2 linked regions of the Caenorhabditis elegans genome follow. The protein of the gene in region 1 interacts with the protein of each later gene in a pairwise test. Each region holds a gene or a part of one and is shown on either strand. Other genes may lie near its edges.

Region 1 (9,849 bases):
TTTGTTTTTACGTGGTTGCGTGTTTTATTTTTAGATACAGGTTTTTAAGGAACACGCCGATAAATAATAGCAACGGTAAAATTTTTCAAAAAATCCAGAAATACACGTGGCGTCAGAGTGTCCCATGCCGGTTTGATCCAGGGGTGGGCGGCAAACGATTTTTCCGGCAAATCGGCAAATCGGCAAATTGCCGGAATTGAAATTTCCGGCAAATCGGCAAACCGGCTAATTGGCGGAATTAAAAATTTCCCGCAAACCGGCAAATCGCTGGAATTGAAAATTTCCGGCAAACCGGCAAATCGGCAAATCGGCAAATTGCCGGAATTAAAAATTTCCGGCAAACCGGCAAATTGCCGATTTGCCGAAAATTTTCGGCAAATACGGTTTTGCACTTATTTTTCGAAACTTCAGAATTCCAATTTCAAATGACAAAACTGAACACATCCTATGAATTCTCTTACATCTATTTTGAAAAGCAAGCAAATTCTATGAAAATATGTAGAAAAAACGGGAAAAAATTCAAAAAAGCACAGTTTTCAGTGTTTCTGTCTTATAAAAAGTCCCTCTAAACATTTCCGGCAAATTAGATATCCGGCAAACGGCAAATCGGCAAATTGCCGAAAATAAAAATTTCCGGCAAATCGACAATTTGCCGGAATGGAAAATTTCTGGCAAATCGGCAAATTGCTGGAATTTAAATTTCCGGCAAACGGCAAACCGGCAATTTGCCGAAAATAAAAATTTCCGGCAAATCGACAATTTGCCGGAATGGAAAATTTCCGGCAAATCGGCAAATTGCTGGAATTTAAATTTCCGGCTAATCGGCAAATTGCTGGAATTTAAATTTCCGGAAAATCGACAAACCGACAATTTGCCGGAATTAAAAATTTCCGGCAAATCGGCAAACCGGCAATTTGTCGATTTGCCGAATTTGTCGACATATCAATTTGCCGAACGCCATTCGCCGCCCACCCCTGGTTTGATCTACGTTTGAGAAGTTTCGTGAGCGCCTTCTCTACTGTATAGCTAATTTCTGAAAAGTAATGGAAACGAGAATTTGTAGTTTTTTTTTTGAAAACTGACTTTTTCCGCGAATTCAAAGTTAGTTGATATTTTTATATTGTAAAAACCTTGGTGGGTCTCGCCACGATTTTTTTGTACATTTCTAAAATATAATTCCCATTTCCCAGGTCTTGCCACGATCACGGAATACCTTTTTAAAAAAGGTGTTTTTTTCAGATTTTCCAGAATCTTCCAGCTTCTCGAGACACGATGCCCCGCCCCTCTCAACTTTCGACTATTTTCACCTTCACCCCAAACTCTCCAACTTTTTCCTTATCCTTTCCCCTGTTACCAAAACCCCGCCCAGTTTCTCCTTCTTCTCTCAAACAGGTCGGTCTCTCTCTCTCTCTTGACATTCATTTCCTTTTGACCCTTTCACTCGATACCGCCATCGGCCAAACTTCTGAGAATCAACTTATTCAAATTTCGTTCCAGTATTCAGCTGCTCATGCACCATGTGCCACGCTGGATGTGCTCGTTAGTCATAATATCCTCCACAAAGCAAGGACTATGACTAGAGACACATTCAGCTTGGCGCCGAATGCATTTTATTTTTAAATTTTATCTTTAAAAGTTTCCCTAATTTCTACATTTTTCTTCAATATACAATTGATTCTTCTTATCTGACTACCAAATCATCTCGAGTCTCCAGTTCTCCCGGGGAGGCGATTCCATGTGTCTCTCTAAATCTCATTGTTCGCCTGAATGTCTAAAATGTTCGACCTCAAAAACGGTAGAGGCCCAAGGACACGCACACACAGTGTGTGATCGATAGGGGAATAGAAAACAGTAGGAACAAGACGTTGGATGCAACGAAGAAGGACACAGACCGTTTACGACTTGTCATCGTCATTTCTCAAGCGACACAAACGATGAAGACCTGCATATAGGTTGGAAGCTTTGGAAATATAGGCATTTTCATTGCAAGAAGACTCTTCTCAATAATTCTTGAGACTCACATAAATAGAAAAATAACTTTTAAAAACAGTGAAATTAGGTAGGGGTAAATAATTTAGGCATAAGGGCGATAATTATATTACAGCAGTTTCCCTCATGTAAAAATACAAACTTAATATACGGGATGATTTGGGGGAGGATGGGGATGGTTGAGATCGTTAAAACGATTTTAAAATGATTGGAAAGAAAATAAATTAGAAACACTTAAGGAAGGTGGGAAACAAATTAATTTAATCCGAGTCGGAGTCGACGACGCGTCCCCTCTTCTTCTTTGGCTGATCCGAATCGGATCCTGAATCCACGTCGTAAGTTGGTGGCGCCTTGCGAGCTCTTCCGCTGAAATAATTACATTTTTTAAAAATAATTTTCAAACTAACCTCTTCTCTCTTGGAGCCACAACGAAGCTTTCGTCGTCTTCATCATCGGAACCAGCGGCCTTCTTTCCGTTCTTCTTTGAAGCACCAAAGAAATCGGTCACCGCCTTCGACTTGGGCTCGGCCGTCTTCGGAGCAGCCTTCTTTGGAGACGGCTTTTTGCTGGTGGACGGCTTCTTCTCAGCTTCTTCATCACTGTCGCCGCCAGACAGATCGCTGAACTCGCTCTTTTTCTTCTTCGGAGCAGCTTTCTTCGCTGGAGCAGGCTTCTTTGCAGGAACTTCATCATCATCTGACAAATCGATAACTTCCGCTTTCGCAGCTCCTTTTCCAGTACGAGGTTTTGGCTTTGAGACGACATCCTCACGCTCCACACCGTCATCGTCCGAATCGAAATCGATTCCTTCCTGCAAAAAATATTTTAGAAGTTGAAGAAATTACAGAGGAAATCTTACATCGAACTCCACGTCACTTTCCTCTGACATGTCAGAGTTGAAGCCGTCGCTTTTCTCCTTCTTCGCAGTCTTCGGAGCAGCTGGAGACATGAACTTTTTAATGTCCTGGCCTTCCTTTTTCACCTTCTTTGGTTCTTTCGGCTCCTTTGGCTCTTTCTTGACGCGTTCCTTCTTTGGCTGAGACATCTTCTCATATTTGGCCTTGGTTGCAGCATCCAACATCGGCTCAATGCGCTGTCCATCTTTGGATGGAAGGACTTCCGTGCACACATTCTTCTTGGGTCCACGTCCGGTCTTTGCGTCGGCAGCAAGCTTTTTGGCGGCATTTTTGATGCTGGCATCTTGATCAGCTTTCTCGCGAGCCTCCTGTTTGTCCAACTCAGACACGAAGTTGTCCAGATCCTCATGCCAAAGATCTTGCCAGGTCTTCTTCTCGATAACTCGAACCTCAGCCATCTTCTCCTCCGATTCCTTGATGAGCTTATTCTTCTCTTCTTCCGAAAGCTTGATGAGAGCCATTCCGACAAGGTAATCGTAGTCTGATAGCTTGGTTTCAACGGCCTTCGCAGCAGAGGAAATGGCTTCGTCCTCTTCGACGGCGACAGCAGCTAGATCATCTTCGTCCAGCTCGATCTCTCCAGATTCACGAAGCTCTTTGAGTTTTTGCTCCTCCTTCCACTTCTTCACTGGATCAGCATCGAACTTCATCTTGATCAAAACATCGACAATCGCCGCCTTCTTCTTGTTCTCGAGAACAATCTCGTTGTTGATCTTGGCGAGGATGAAACGAGCCTGGTTAGTGAGACGCTTGCTCTGAGCCTGAAGAACTCCGAGAAGGTACTCCTTTCTCTGTACGTACTTCTCTTGGCGACTATCGTAGAACTCTTGAGTAATCGCTTCTGGCGAAGTGTATGTACGAAGACATCCGGCAGCATCGAAAAGTACCATGCACGTAGTGTTGATGACAGCTTGGAGCTTGAAGACTTGATGAAGATCCTGACCGCGCTCCAATTCACGAAGTTTTCCCGGCGAGAGCTTCACGACGAACTTGACAGTTGTATCTGTGTGATACTCTTTGTAGTCGACGATAACAGGCGATTTCTTGTCCGAGCTCTCCATCAATCCTTCCAAAACCTTCTCTTTGTAGTCTTGAGTCCACTGTTTGATTGGCAACTCGGTGATCTCAATGGTGTTGTCATCCAGCACAGCAACTTCACCATAGCATGCAAATCGACTCGGGTCGATTTGAATGATCTTTCCGCGGAAGTTCTTGTACCATGGAGCTAAGGCTTTCTGTGGCTCGCCGGCGATAAGACGCTTGATGTTCTTGACCAGTTCACGTGGATTGTAATTAGGAATGTTCGTGGACCATCCAGTACCGATGCCTTGAGCTCCATTGACGAGTACCATTGGAATAATCGGGCAATACCATTCTGGCTCAATACGCTGATTTTCTTCATAAAGGAAACGAAGGACATTGTCATCGTGAGCCGGGAAGAGTGTACGAGTGACTGGCGACAGTTGAGTGAAGATGTAACGAGCTGAAGCACTGTCCTTTCCACCTTGGAGACGAGTACCAAACTGTCCGATTGGAAGAAGCAGGTTGATGTTGTTGGAGCCAACGTAATCTTGAGCGAGATTCACAATTGTTCCCATAAGCGACTGTTCTCCGTGATGGTAAGCAGAAATTTCAGCGACAGCTCCAGCCAATTGAGCTACTTTGACTTCACGCTTGTCTGCTCTCTTGAAGCACGCGAAGAGAACCTTCCGCTGTCCTGGCTTGAAACCATCCACAAGGCATGGAATTGAACGCTCGTTGTCGAGATTCGAGAAGAGGACCAATTCACGATTGACGAAATCTTTGAAGGTGACGAATCGAGTGTCCTTGTTGTAGAGATATTCTTCAGCAAGTCCCTGCTGCTTTCGGTCCTTCTTCTCCCGCATCCACTTCGAGAGCCAGTCTTTTCTCTCTTCAATCTTCTTCTTCGAGAAAGCCATGTCGACAGCGTTATCATCATCAGCTCCATTGTACTTGAAGCGGATACGATGACGAACCATGTCCAAGAAGTATTCCTTAGCTTCCTTAGAAGTCGATGTACCCAATCCCTTGTAGTACTTGATCTTGTACGACTTCCAGTTATCCGTATTCATTCTCCACTCAGAATATTCTGGGAGCGAATAGAAGGAAACTTCTTCTTTTCCTTTGGTGGCTTTGACAATTGGAGTGATGAATTCTTCTACGAAGTTCCGCTGAATGAGAGAAGGCCAGAAGTGATGGATGAAATTGATCACGAGTCCTTTGATGTGTGAACCGTCTTGATCCTGATCAGCCATGACCATCAGTTTACCGTATCGAAGAGTCTTGAAGTCATCTTCTGTCTCGTACTTCTTCTTGTATTGGAGTCCCAGAATTTTGATCATGGCATTGACCTCAGCATTATCGGCGATTTGTTTCATATTTCCTTCTCGGACATTTAGCAATTTTCCTCGAAGTGGGAATACTCCATATTTGTCGCGTCCAACGACTGAAAGTCCCGAAACAGCAAGCGTTTTGGCCGAGTCTCCCTCCGTCAGAATTAATGTGCATTGTTGGGAATTTTTGGTTCCAGCGTCGTTGGCATCTTCAAGCTTTGGAATGCCCTGAAATAAATATTAATTAAAACAAGGCCACGAATTAGATGAATTGTTACCTTCAGCTTGGAAGTCTTCGTCTTGGAGCACTTTTTGTTGAGGTCGTCCATTTGTTTGAAGCGAACCCAACTCATAACAGCATCGGTGATTCCAACACTTGAAGCCGCTTTGGAGAACTTCTCGCTGAGGACGCAGGTCGATCCGAACTGCTTCTGCTGCAGGGTCATAGTCTCTTTCGTCTGGGAGTCGAATGTCGGATTTTCGATCAAGCAATTCACAAAAACCCACATGTGATTTTTGATCTGAAAATTTTGATATAAAATTGAATATTTGGAAAATTTATTAGATTTGAATTCGCATTAGCAATTCCTCGCCTCAGATTCGCCTTTTAGTAATCACAAATCATCGGAAAGTTTAAAAATGTTGCGCCGCGCCTTTAGACACTGGATAAAAACTTTCTCCAGCGTCACTAAAGCGTCGCAATTTTATTTTTCACTTGGTGCACCGATACTTCAAAAGAATCGGTGAAATCTCTAGAAAAACCTTGAAAATTTTCAGATTTCTCTTATTATCGAGTCACCAAAGAGTTCATATAGCTATTTTGAGTCATCATTGGCGGTAAATATTTTAAATTCGACGAAATTTACCTGGAATGGCTTGATATTCATCGACGTCTTTGTGAGCTTCCGCTTGATCGAGTCGATGAACTTGGCGACCATCTGATCAGCCACGTAGTCCACGTGCCGTCCTCCTTTTGTGGTAGCAATACTGTTGACAAATGACACTTGTTGGAAGCCTTTTTCCGAAAGAGCCAAGGCGACTTGCCAACGATCTCCAACTTGCTCGTATGCGATCTTGAGGGGTTCTCCTTCATTGTTGAACTGCGAAGTGTACATTTGGACGTAGTCCTCGAATCCTTTGATTGGAATTCGTTTTCCATTGAGGAACACGGCGACTCCTTTACTGGATCCAGCCACATCATACGCACGCCGAGCCATCAAATGGCAGATGTCATCGTCCAGCTCCTTCATCTTGAACTTTGCCAGATCCGGCGAGAATGTGATCTTCGTGAAGTCTTCGTCGGTGCTCTTAACAATCTTCGGCTCCTCATCACGCGTCATGTTTTTGATCCACGTTTGCTTGAATGCACTTTTGTAATCCCGTGAAGACGTCTCCAGAGTGAATTTTGTGGAGAAGATGTTGCAAAGCTTTGCTCCATATCCGTTGCGTCCTCCCGTCACTTTCTTCTCATCGTCATTGTAGTTAGAAGATGTTAGAAGAGTTCCAAAAATCAGCTCTGGGACGTAGACTTTCTCCACTTTGTGCTGAGTGACTGGGATTCCTTTGCCATTGTTGTAGACAGAGATCTCATTTTTCTCCCTGAAAGAAAGCAAAATTAAATTAAATTCCTTTATGCTACGGTCTAAACTTACTTATTGATGGTGATCTTGATTGTGTTCATCTTCGGATCTCTCTGTTTGTTGTCAGCGGCATTCACAAGAATTTCATCATAAATCTTGTAGAGTCCCGGCACGTATGAGATGTCACGCTGCTCCAGCTTGCTCTCCTCCATGTTGTAGACCCACATCGGCGTCTTCTCGGTATGCTCGACCGAACCGATGTAGGTGTCCGGGCGAAGAAGAATGTGCTCGAGTTGGGACTTCTTTTGGTAGATATCCTCGATCGCCATTTGTTTCGAGCCACCACCTTTTTTGTCGATCGACGTGAACACATTGCGGTCCTCTTCAGTCATAACCATCGACTCGTTGGCTGAAAAGAAGCAAATTAGATTCAAGAAACTCTACAAATTAACCAACCATCATCTTTCTTTTTCTTCGGTGACGCCTTCTCCTTCTTTGGTGCGGTTTTCTTCTTGGGTGAATCTTCGATAGAGAATTCACTATCAGAGTCGCTCATTGTTAGAGATCTGGAAAAAGATGACATTTAATTTTAGGACGATCGGGAGAAAGAGAGAAAGAAACGCGGTGAATATTCAATAAACTTGAGGATGCGAAGAAAAATGAGTGAAGAGAAAAAGAACTAGCACACCAGTGGACATCACTGGACACTGAACACTGAATCGATGCAAGACAGCCGGCTAGAGAGCGCACAAAAAAACAACTGAGCGCGCCAAAATGAGCGTCCGATTCGAAATTGGCGGCCTAAGAGCGTCGGGTCTCGCAGCGAACGCGCGAAAAATACACAGCTGAAACGAGTGTTACCGTAGTTGTAGCCTCGAAATACGAAATTTAGTTTTTGTGTCTGCGTCTCTTACGGAAATGCATTGCGAGATAGAAGTTGTGTAATTTTTTTGCGAAAAAATTCAAAAAAAGTAACTTTTTGTTCTAAATAATGTTTTATTTATTTTAGAGAGCTCAAAATGTGGATTGAGATTCGTAAATTTTACGAACTCATCGTCTCCTTCACAGCTTTCGATGACGACCGAAAAATAAACGAGCTGTTCAACGAAATCGAGAAATACAGATGGCGATTGAGCAATATTCTTTTGAATCCGGTATGTTTTCCGACTGATGTTAGTGTAATAAACCTTTCTAATTGAAGAGACGAACGGGTAAAGATCGGGAAAAGCTGAAGCCAGGAAATGTGGAAATGGCAGGAGTGGAAGTTGCGCTAGACGAGGAAATCTGTTCGGAAGCACTCATTTTGTCGGATATCTTTCAATTAAATGAGCTGGAAGCTGTGGATTTGATTTTGGCCGGAGAAGCTCAAAAAATACATTTCGAAGGCCTCAACAGAGGATTAATCGCTGTCGTTTGCTACTATGATGCGCACAGGCTCCTAATCGCAACAATGCGCCAAATGCTAAAATGGGACCGAGAGGATATTCCTCAACGTATCAGCAAGTTCCTCAATAGCACATTCATCAACGAGGACGTGATCAAAAACCTTTTTCGTGGGTTTTCAAAAAATTATATTATCATAAATATTACTAATTTTTTTTTCCAATTTTCAGAACAACTAATCAATTTCACCGTTCAATCAGAATTTGCACGACTTCAATCTCCAGATGTCAACGGTTTAGGAGGCTCTAAACATCAGAAATTGGTACCGAATTGATTATAATTTTGGAATTCTTTCATAAAATTAATTTCAGGTCAGAAATGCCATTGAGGAGATTCGAAGTGAAGTAATTGGTTGCATTTCGATGATCTGTGAGATTCCGGGAGGAAACGCAGTTTCGATTTCAAATCATTTATTCCAAATTGTAAAGGCAGTTCCACCGGAGAAGCTCAGTTGTAGTAGCTTGACAGCCTGGATTTCTCTCGTTAAAATCACATCGAGTGAAGTGTTGTCTCAAGGTAATATTTGAAGATGGAGTAGCGATTTTTCTGTTTTTCTTTTGTGGTTTTTCTGTATTCGAGAATATTTTCGATTTTCTAAAGCAATTCTCGCTACTCCATCTTCATGCCTATACCCAAAAATCCAGTTACAAATCTGTTTGAGAGTTTACAGTTCACGATGCTCAACAAGTGCTCACAAACATGATCGCCCACATTCGGAATGAAACAGACTGGTCGGATCAAGCAATGTGCGGAACTCTACAGCTAGCATGCGCTGTTGCTCTGAAATCGATTGCCTCATCGCCATCAGATCATCTAGGGATCGAGAATATCAAGGTGGACGTGGAAAGAGTCATCGATCGATCTATCCGGAATATGGCTTTTCATTACTTGCGACAAGCGATCATCAAGTCGGAACACTTCCGTTATGCCCATCAGTTTATGATTATTGATGAGCTTCTGAAACAGCTGATTTCATATTTCCCCGCGAAGCTTATGGAGACTGAAAGAAATTCTACAGACGAGCTGAACTTCCTGGATGATCAGAAAAAGGAACAATCAACGACTCAAAAACCGGATCCGAAAAGCCAAACAGTCCACATAACGGACAAAGTTACAGCTCAACTGAGCTCTACAGATCCATCGAACAACTATGATTCGGCTCTATCACAATATGAGAACTTCCTTCGATGCTTTGTGGATTTATACGAGATGCAAGTGACCGACTATGCACATCAGAAGAATGCGAGAACAGCACGCGAACGAGAGCTTCAGGAGCAAATCGAAGAGAACAGCATGGCTTTTAGTACGGAGAGATCGATTGAGCTCTGCCGGCTCCTGGAACGTGCTCGTCTTCCAAACCATCATGTTGTTCATTCAGTTGCTTATCTGGAAATGTGCGCTGCTGTATGCAAAAATGAGAACACAGCTGCTCTACTTTATGACATCTTCTCCAAAGAACATTGTGGACCAGATTCATATGGATGGGAATCTCTGGCTTCAGCACTCAAAGGCTACGATCGTTTGTACCGGGAGCAGAAGTATGCGTCGAATTCTCGTCACAATCAA
Region 2 (6,308 bases), on another chromosome or scaffold:
AAATCCCCATCGACGCGTATCACGAGACCACAAGATTCTGAAAATGCGTATCGCGCAAAATATCTCGTAGCGAAAACTACAGTACAGTAAATACAGTAAATTCTGTAGTGCCTGTGTCGATTTACGGGCTCTATTTTCGAAATCATATTTTTTTGATTTACCGATAGAATATTAAAATTAAGCAAAAATGCCACTATTTGAACAAAAATCCATTTCAAAACTCGAGCCCGTAAATCGACACTACAGTAGTCATTTAAAGAATGACTGTAGTTTTCGCTACGAGATATTTTGCGCGTCAAATATGTTGCGCAATACGCATTCTCAGAATTTTGTGTTCCCGTAATATTTTTTTTCGGATACTTTTAAAGTTTTTGGGTGGAGTGTTTCCGTAATACACTTTTAATCAACCGGGAGCAATTCCCAAACTCACCGACTGTTCACCTCCTTCGCTGGAAGAAGCCGTGCCGTGTCATCACTGAATTTGCACAGAAAATGAAGTTCCCCAGGTCCCTTGGTGAGCCCGACAATGCATTTTAACTGCTTGCCTTCCAGTGAGAATTTGTCATTTTGATTCGTTTCCTTCTTTTCATCTTTATCCTCTTCTGGATCCGCTTGATCTTCGGAAGGTTCGGGCTTCTGGCTGTGTCGTTTGCGAATTGGTTTCTCTCTCTGTAAAAATAAAATAAGTTTGTTGCAGAAAAATCGGATTTTATGACTTTGTAATTTTAACTCTAAAAAACCTAATTTTAGTTAAAATCTTCAAGTTTACCAGCTTTTCCGTGTGAAAATAGGAGAATAATCGAACAAAAATCTAATTTAAACAGTTGCAGCACGGAAAAGTGGGCAAAATCGAAGATTTTTCAAACAATTTTCACTATGAAATTCGCTTTTTAGGACCATTTCAAGTAAAATAAACTTTAAAAAATTCTTCAAAACCTTTGAAAATTCCCTCTCAAACTCGTCCAACATCTCGACGCACTGGAGATTCTCTCTCGGCTCCCAGCTAGAGTCAGACTCGGGGAATCCTTGCCACTGTATGAGAAATTCGTCTCTGCCGGCTTTTCCAGTTCGCTTGTCCAGCACTTTTTCCACCATGAACACGTTGTCCTTCTGGAAATCAGATTTTTGAATAAAATGTGACTTTTTTTTTCTTTGTCGGGGAACTTATACTGTCGCTTTGTTTCTAGCAAAATTGGATTTTTTATGCAAAAATAGATTTTTTGTTGCAAAATTGTTTTTTTAAAATATTTTTTTTAGTGCAAAAATTGATTTATTGTTTTTTTGCAAAATGGACTGTTTTTTGGTTTTTTTTCGTTGCAAAATTGTATTTTTTAGTTTTTTTTGTTGTAAAAATAGATTTTTTGGTTTTTTCGCCGTTCCATACCGGATCTTCGATTTTTGCTCGCTTTGTTGATTTGCTCGACATTTTTGAAATTGCTGAAATAAATTTGAGCTAAAATGGGAGAAATCTGAAAAAACATAGAAAAAATATGGAATAAAGATTCGAACAATATCTTGAAATTAAAAAAAGGCTCGAACAAGAAAAAAAATCATATTTAGTTTACTCACAGACAATCACCGTACAGAAATATTTAAAAAAAAAATAAAAATTATCAATCTTTTTCAGCATCATCATCATCACTCTCAGAGTCATTTTCTCCACCTTCAAGCCCTTCCACATCCTCCATCATAATCTCCTGTTCCTCATCGCTCTTCTCCTCGGCTTCTGGAACATTTGAGTCGTTTTCAGGCTCCTCGGGCTCATCTTCGTGATCATGATGATGGTGATCGTCGCATTCGTGTGGTTTTTCATCATCGTCACTATCTTTTTCTTCTTCCTGTTTCTCGGCTTCTTGCTTCTGTTGTTGCTTCTTCCGTTTCAGGTAGGTTAGGAGCTCTGAAAATTTAAAAATTAATTTTTTTTTGCCACATTTTTCGAGCTACTATCTTGTGAATTTCGCAAGTTTTGGATTAAAAGCGCGGTTTGTTGCATGTAAATTTACGAAGGATTTTGTACTTCACCCGGACAACTGTGAGTTATTGGCTGAAATTTACTTTTTTGAACTATTTTCGCTGATTCTCTTCCAACATTCCAAATTACCAAAGAAATGAGTTTTCCAAAAAGCAGAAAAAGAGGCGGAACGTAATTTTGCAACCAATTTTGCAACCATGCGGCACGGTTTTCCTTTTTCTTTTTTGGGGTTTTTCCATAAAAGTTTCGATTTTATTCCTTTTAATTCACATTAGATTGGGAGGATATTTCAAGCTAAATTGGTTGTAAAAATATGAACTATAATCGAAATGTTATGCGAATTAAATTTGATTTTTTTCTCGTAAAAAAAAATAAAACAGGAAGAATCGAAGTTTTTTGGAAAAAAAAACCAGAAAAAAAACCAAAAAAAAAAACAGTGGAAAATTGTCGAAAAATCGTGCCGCAGAGTTGCGAAATTAGGCTCCTCCTCTCTTTCTAGTTATAATGTCTTATTATTGTCCAAAAAATGTGAAAAAAGATTCACGCTTGTCCACGTGCAGTATCCTCCGTAACATGTAAGTATCAAACTGCGCCGAAAAACCTTCCAAAACTTGCGAAAATCACGAATTAATCGTTCTATTTCAAACCTTTTGCGGTATTCATAATATTCTCAGTATTCTGCTGACATATTGGGCATTTTGACGACTTTTGGAACGATTTCAACGCACAACCGGTGCAAAAGTAGTGCTTGCATTTTGTCACGATCGGATCAACAAATGGATTTCCGCAAATAAAACAATCCTCCGGAAACGTATCGTCGCCTTCATGAATCTCGTAATTCGCATCGTCTTCAGCACCATATTTTCCTGCTTCGTACTCCTCATCAATCTCCCATCCGTGTTTATAGTCCGATCGGTCGTGCACAAATTTACACGAATCTCCAAACGTACAGAATCCAGTCTCCTTGTAATCCTTGCAAATATCCGGTGCAAAATCCCAACGGACTGTTTGTCGTAGAAATTGTGGCGCCCGAACGGGCCCAACTCGATTATAACCACTTGCAGCGTTTCCCTTGGCCGTATCCTTCGCCTCTTTGGCTCCATACAGTGCACTTCCCTTGTACAGAATTTTTCCGTCTTTCTCGACGCCTTCCTTCAGTTGCTGTTGGACTCGTTCGAATTGAGCCTGGGCATCGTGTGAATAGTCTGTGTCCACTTCGAGTGTTGCAGTGGCACCTTGATCACGTGGTCCAGATGGACCGGCATCTCCTGAAGCGGCGAACGAGTGAGTTGCTACTGCGATATCCTGATTGTCGTCAGAGTCGTCAGAATCATCCGATGAATTATCAGCACGTCGTGTTGAGGCGTCTAGTTGTTTGGTCTGAATTTCAAAGTTTATTGGGATTTTCCAAAATTTTGGAGCACTAAAGTACCAAGATCTCACCGACTGGACCATCGGATTCGTACGACGTCGCTTTTGAATCACATCCTTCACTTCTGAATCTTGATCCTCATCACTTGAGCTTTCCTTTTTACGAACGACGGGTGCATTGCGCTTTTTCGGTTTTCGGAAGAGATCCATTATCTGAAAAATTAAAACTATTTATTAAATTCAATTAATTAATAAAGCTTCAAATCTGACAAACGAGAAATACAATAAAACGGTTCAACATTATGAGAGGAAGATGAATCAAACAATAGAGCTCTACAGCCGAAATTTTTGGCGCCATGGAAATCATTTTTCAAATTGTCTCCAATGTGCAAGATTTCCGAGGGAGAAATTAGATCGAAATGGTTGACAACTAGCTGGAAGATCTTCTCATCGGGCTTTTCGTACCCAATTTCGCCGGAGAGAACTGTCATGGAGAAAAGATCGAGTAAATTGAATTGAGAAAGTAGAGATTTCAAGCGACTATCGAAATTGGAGATGACAACCAGGATGATTCCTTTCAGGCGAAGTTTTTGCAGAGTTTGGCGCGTCTAAAATGAAAAATTGCAGTATTTTTTTTTCAACAATTCACAAAATTTACATCGCTTTCAACTAGTTTCCACGGCTCAGGAGTTGCATAGTGATTGTACAAAGCTCCAGCGATCACTTCAACCCGTCCTTTTTCAGAATCCGGAGCACACTGAAACTATCAAGTAGGGGACTTGCCTAATTCAGATTACACCTACATCCAAAAGCGTAGAAGAAACTACTTCAATCCACCAACTTTTGTTTCCAATTCCATTGAACCCAAAGCAGGGCGATGCGATGCTCATTCGTTTATAATTTTTAAGAAAGCTTCCCATGATTTGATCGGAGTCGACTTCCAAATCATATTGCCTCGCGAAACGGGAATAAACTATCGGTGGAGACTCTTTCATCGTGATTAGTGTATCACGAGCATCTAGGGAGAGAACTTTCACGACTGGAGGGGTGGAAAGGTTACGAGAAGTTGTACGGAGCAGGTTGGAGAGCATTGAGCTAAATATGGAAATCTAGAGTTTTTTTTAGATTTCCAAAGAAAAGGTTAGTGTGTTGATTGAAAATTTTCCTCCAAATTGGCCGAAAACAATATTTTAACGACGGAAATACTGCATTTTAACTATTTAAATGACGATTTCGTAGAAAATAATATTGGAAGTATCGGAAATCGATTTTTCGAATTCAAACATCAGGAATTTTTGAGAAGTTTTTCGAGATGCATAGGGATAACACTAGGCTTCTTAAAAGAAAAAAGGTTTTTGCATCCGAATTTCAGAGATATTTCTGTAGAAAAAAAAGAGTTCAATTTACTGTTCAAACTCTCCAAATAACGATTTCTCAGCCAAAATCAATTAATTTCCAACACCTGATTTTGAACAGAATAACAATTTTTGAACAATTTAAAAGAAATCTTATCACAAAATTCGTTCATTTTGGCTTGCTTCGAGTATTTAGAAGGAAAAACTAGAGATTTCCTTGACTCCACTTGTTTCATCGATTAGGAATACTTTATCTAAAGATATTTTTTATATTTAAACCTATTTCTTTATTTAAAATCCAAAATCGCAAGAAATCCCTCATAAATTCGTCAAAAACAAAAATAAACTAAAAAAACACTTTTAAAAAATCGATAAAATTCGAAAGACCCGCGTGCGGCACGGAAAAAGTGGGCGGAGTGCGCCGAACGCAAACCACTCGCACACTTCTCATACACTCCGCCACAACACGCTCCACCGGAGTGTGTGACACAGCGCGCCAACTTGAAAATGGCCGAGAGAGTGTCTCGTGCTCAGGTCATGCGCGGCCTAGTTTTACCATGTGATTTTGACGCCAATTCAAATGATCACATTTCCTCGTGCTTTGCAGCGCTCCTTCTCCTCGTCCAAACCCGTCGAACTCGTGCTTTTCTCATCGCAAAACTGCTCGCTGTGCGTACATTTTCACAGACAACTCAAAAACTATCTTAAAAAGCATCCCGGGATTGTTGTCGTCGAGAAAAATCTCGCCCAAGAATCGCCAGAGCTAATTGAAGTGAGACTTTCTTCTACGTCTACGTTTTTTTTGTTTTGTATTCTATTTTCTCATTTAATAAAAATATAAATACAGAAAATTTAAAAATAGGTAGTTTAAATTCCTAATTTTCAGAAATTCAAATACGACATTCCCGTCCTGGTGGCCGGAGATAATAAAATCCTTCTGAAACATCGATTCAGTGGAGTTCTACTCGAAGAAAACCTCAAAAAATGAGCAACTGCGAGATAATCGCGGTGCACGGAGGTTTGCGCACACTAATTATCGATTTTTTGCGGCAAAATTTAAATCTTGCAGGTGCGTGTGCTAAATTCGACGCAAGTCTTGCCGAGGACTGCCGTTTTGCGTGTGGTACAGGCACTGTTGAGAATGCGTTGACGGTGAGGAATTCTTTTTTGGTTTTCTCACGAAATATATTTAATTTTTTTTGCAGGATCTTGAAAGAATAGAAAAGTTCAACTGTGGATTCGGCTCACATTTGACTATCGATCAAGAAGTTGAATGTGAAGCATCATATATGTCATCCAAAAATTTAAGGTTTCCCTAAAAACCATACATTTCTCCCTTACCGATTATTTTCAAATTCAGTTTCGGCGCGGTCGGCGCGATTTCCAACGTTTTCCATCCGTCCCGAGTGGCACGTCACCTTGCACATAGCAATTGGTGGAAGCAGCGACGTCTTCTTCATCCCCTTATTCTTGTTGGTCGTGGAGCAGAGAAATATGCTGTTAAAAATGGTAAATTTCTGAATTTTGAATTTTAAATCTCGAAAAATCATTGGATTTTCAGATTTTCCAACGTGTACACCTGAAGAACTCGTATCAAAAGCGGCGAAAGA

The links. The genes of interacting proteins can lie anywhere in the genome.
Region 2: the proteins of top-2 (region 1) and rnf-113 interact in a two-hybrid assay, tested with the Caenorhabditis elegans proteins (one large-scale study listed by BioGRID).

The regions. Positions count from the first base shown.
Region 1 is NC_003280.10:11,872,704-11,882,552, reverse strand, and holds top-2 (DNA topoisomerase 2 top-2), read right to left. Parts: upstream 7,406-9,849; 5' UTR 7,397-7,405; coding exon 7,297-7,396; intron 7,250-7,296; coding exon 6,913-7,249; intron 6,860-6,912; coding exon 6,127-6,859; intron 6,094-6,126; exon of another isoform or gene 5,999-6,093; intron 5,998-5,998; exon of another isoform or gene 5,937-5,997; intron 5,923-5,936; exon of another isoform or gene 5,851-5,922; intron 5,782-5,850; coding exon 5,539-5,781; intron 5,489-5,538; coding exon 2,849-5,488; intron 2,801-2,848; coding exon 2,397-2,800; intron 2,356-2,396; coding exon 2,250-2,355; 3' UTR 1,965-2,249; downstream 1-1,964. Other genes in the region: npp-3 (Nuclear Pore complex Protein), read left to right, coding at 7,860-7,994, 8,042-8,393, 8,454-8,545, 8,595-8,799, 8,954-9,849. UniProt on the Caenorhabditis elegans protein: Control of topological states of DNA by transient breakage and subsequent rejoining of DNA strands. Topoisomerase II makes double-strand breaks.
Region 2 is NC_003281.10:10,754,085-10,760,392, forward strand, and holds rnf-113 (putative E3 ubiquitin-protein ligase rnf113), read right to left. Parts: upstream 3,557-6,308; 5' UTR 3,554-3,556; coding exon 3,416-3,553; intron 3,353-3,415; coding exon 2,620-3,352; intron 1,898-2,619; coding exon 1,614-1,897; 3' UTR 1,540-1,613; downstream 1-1,539. Other genes in the region: Chromobox protein homolog hpl-2, read right to left, coding at 431-669, 937-1,110, 1,385-1,426; K01G5.10 (Haloacid dehalogenase-like hydrolase domain-containing protein 3), read right to left, coding at 3,592-3,951, 4,002-4,100, 4,147-4,434; tasp-1 (TASPase homolog), read left to right, coding at 5,683-5,716, 5,768-5,850, 5,904-6,007, 6,059-6,207, 6,260-6,308. UniProt on the Caenorhabditis elegans protein: May function as E3 ubiquitin-protein ligase that catalyzes the transfer of ubiquitin onto target proteins.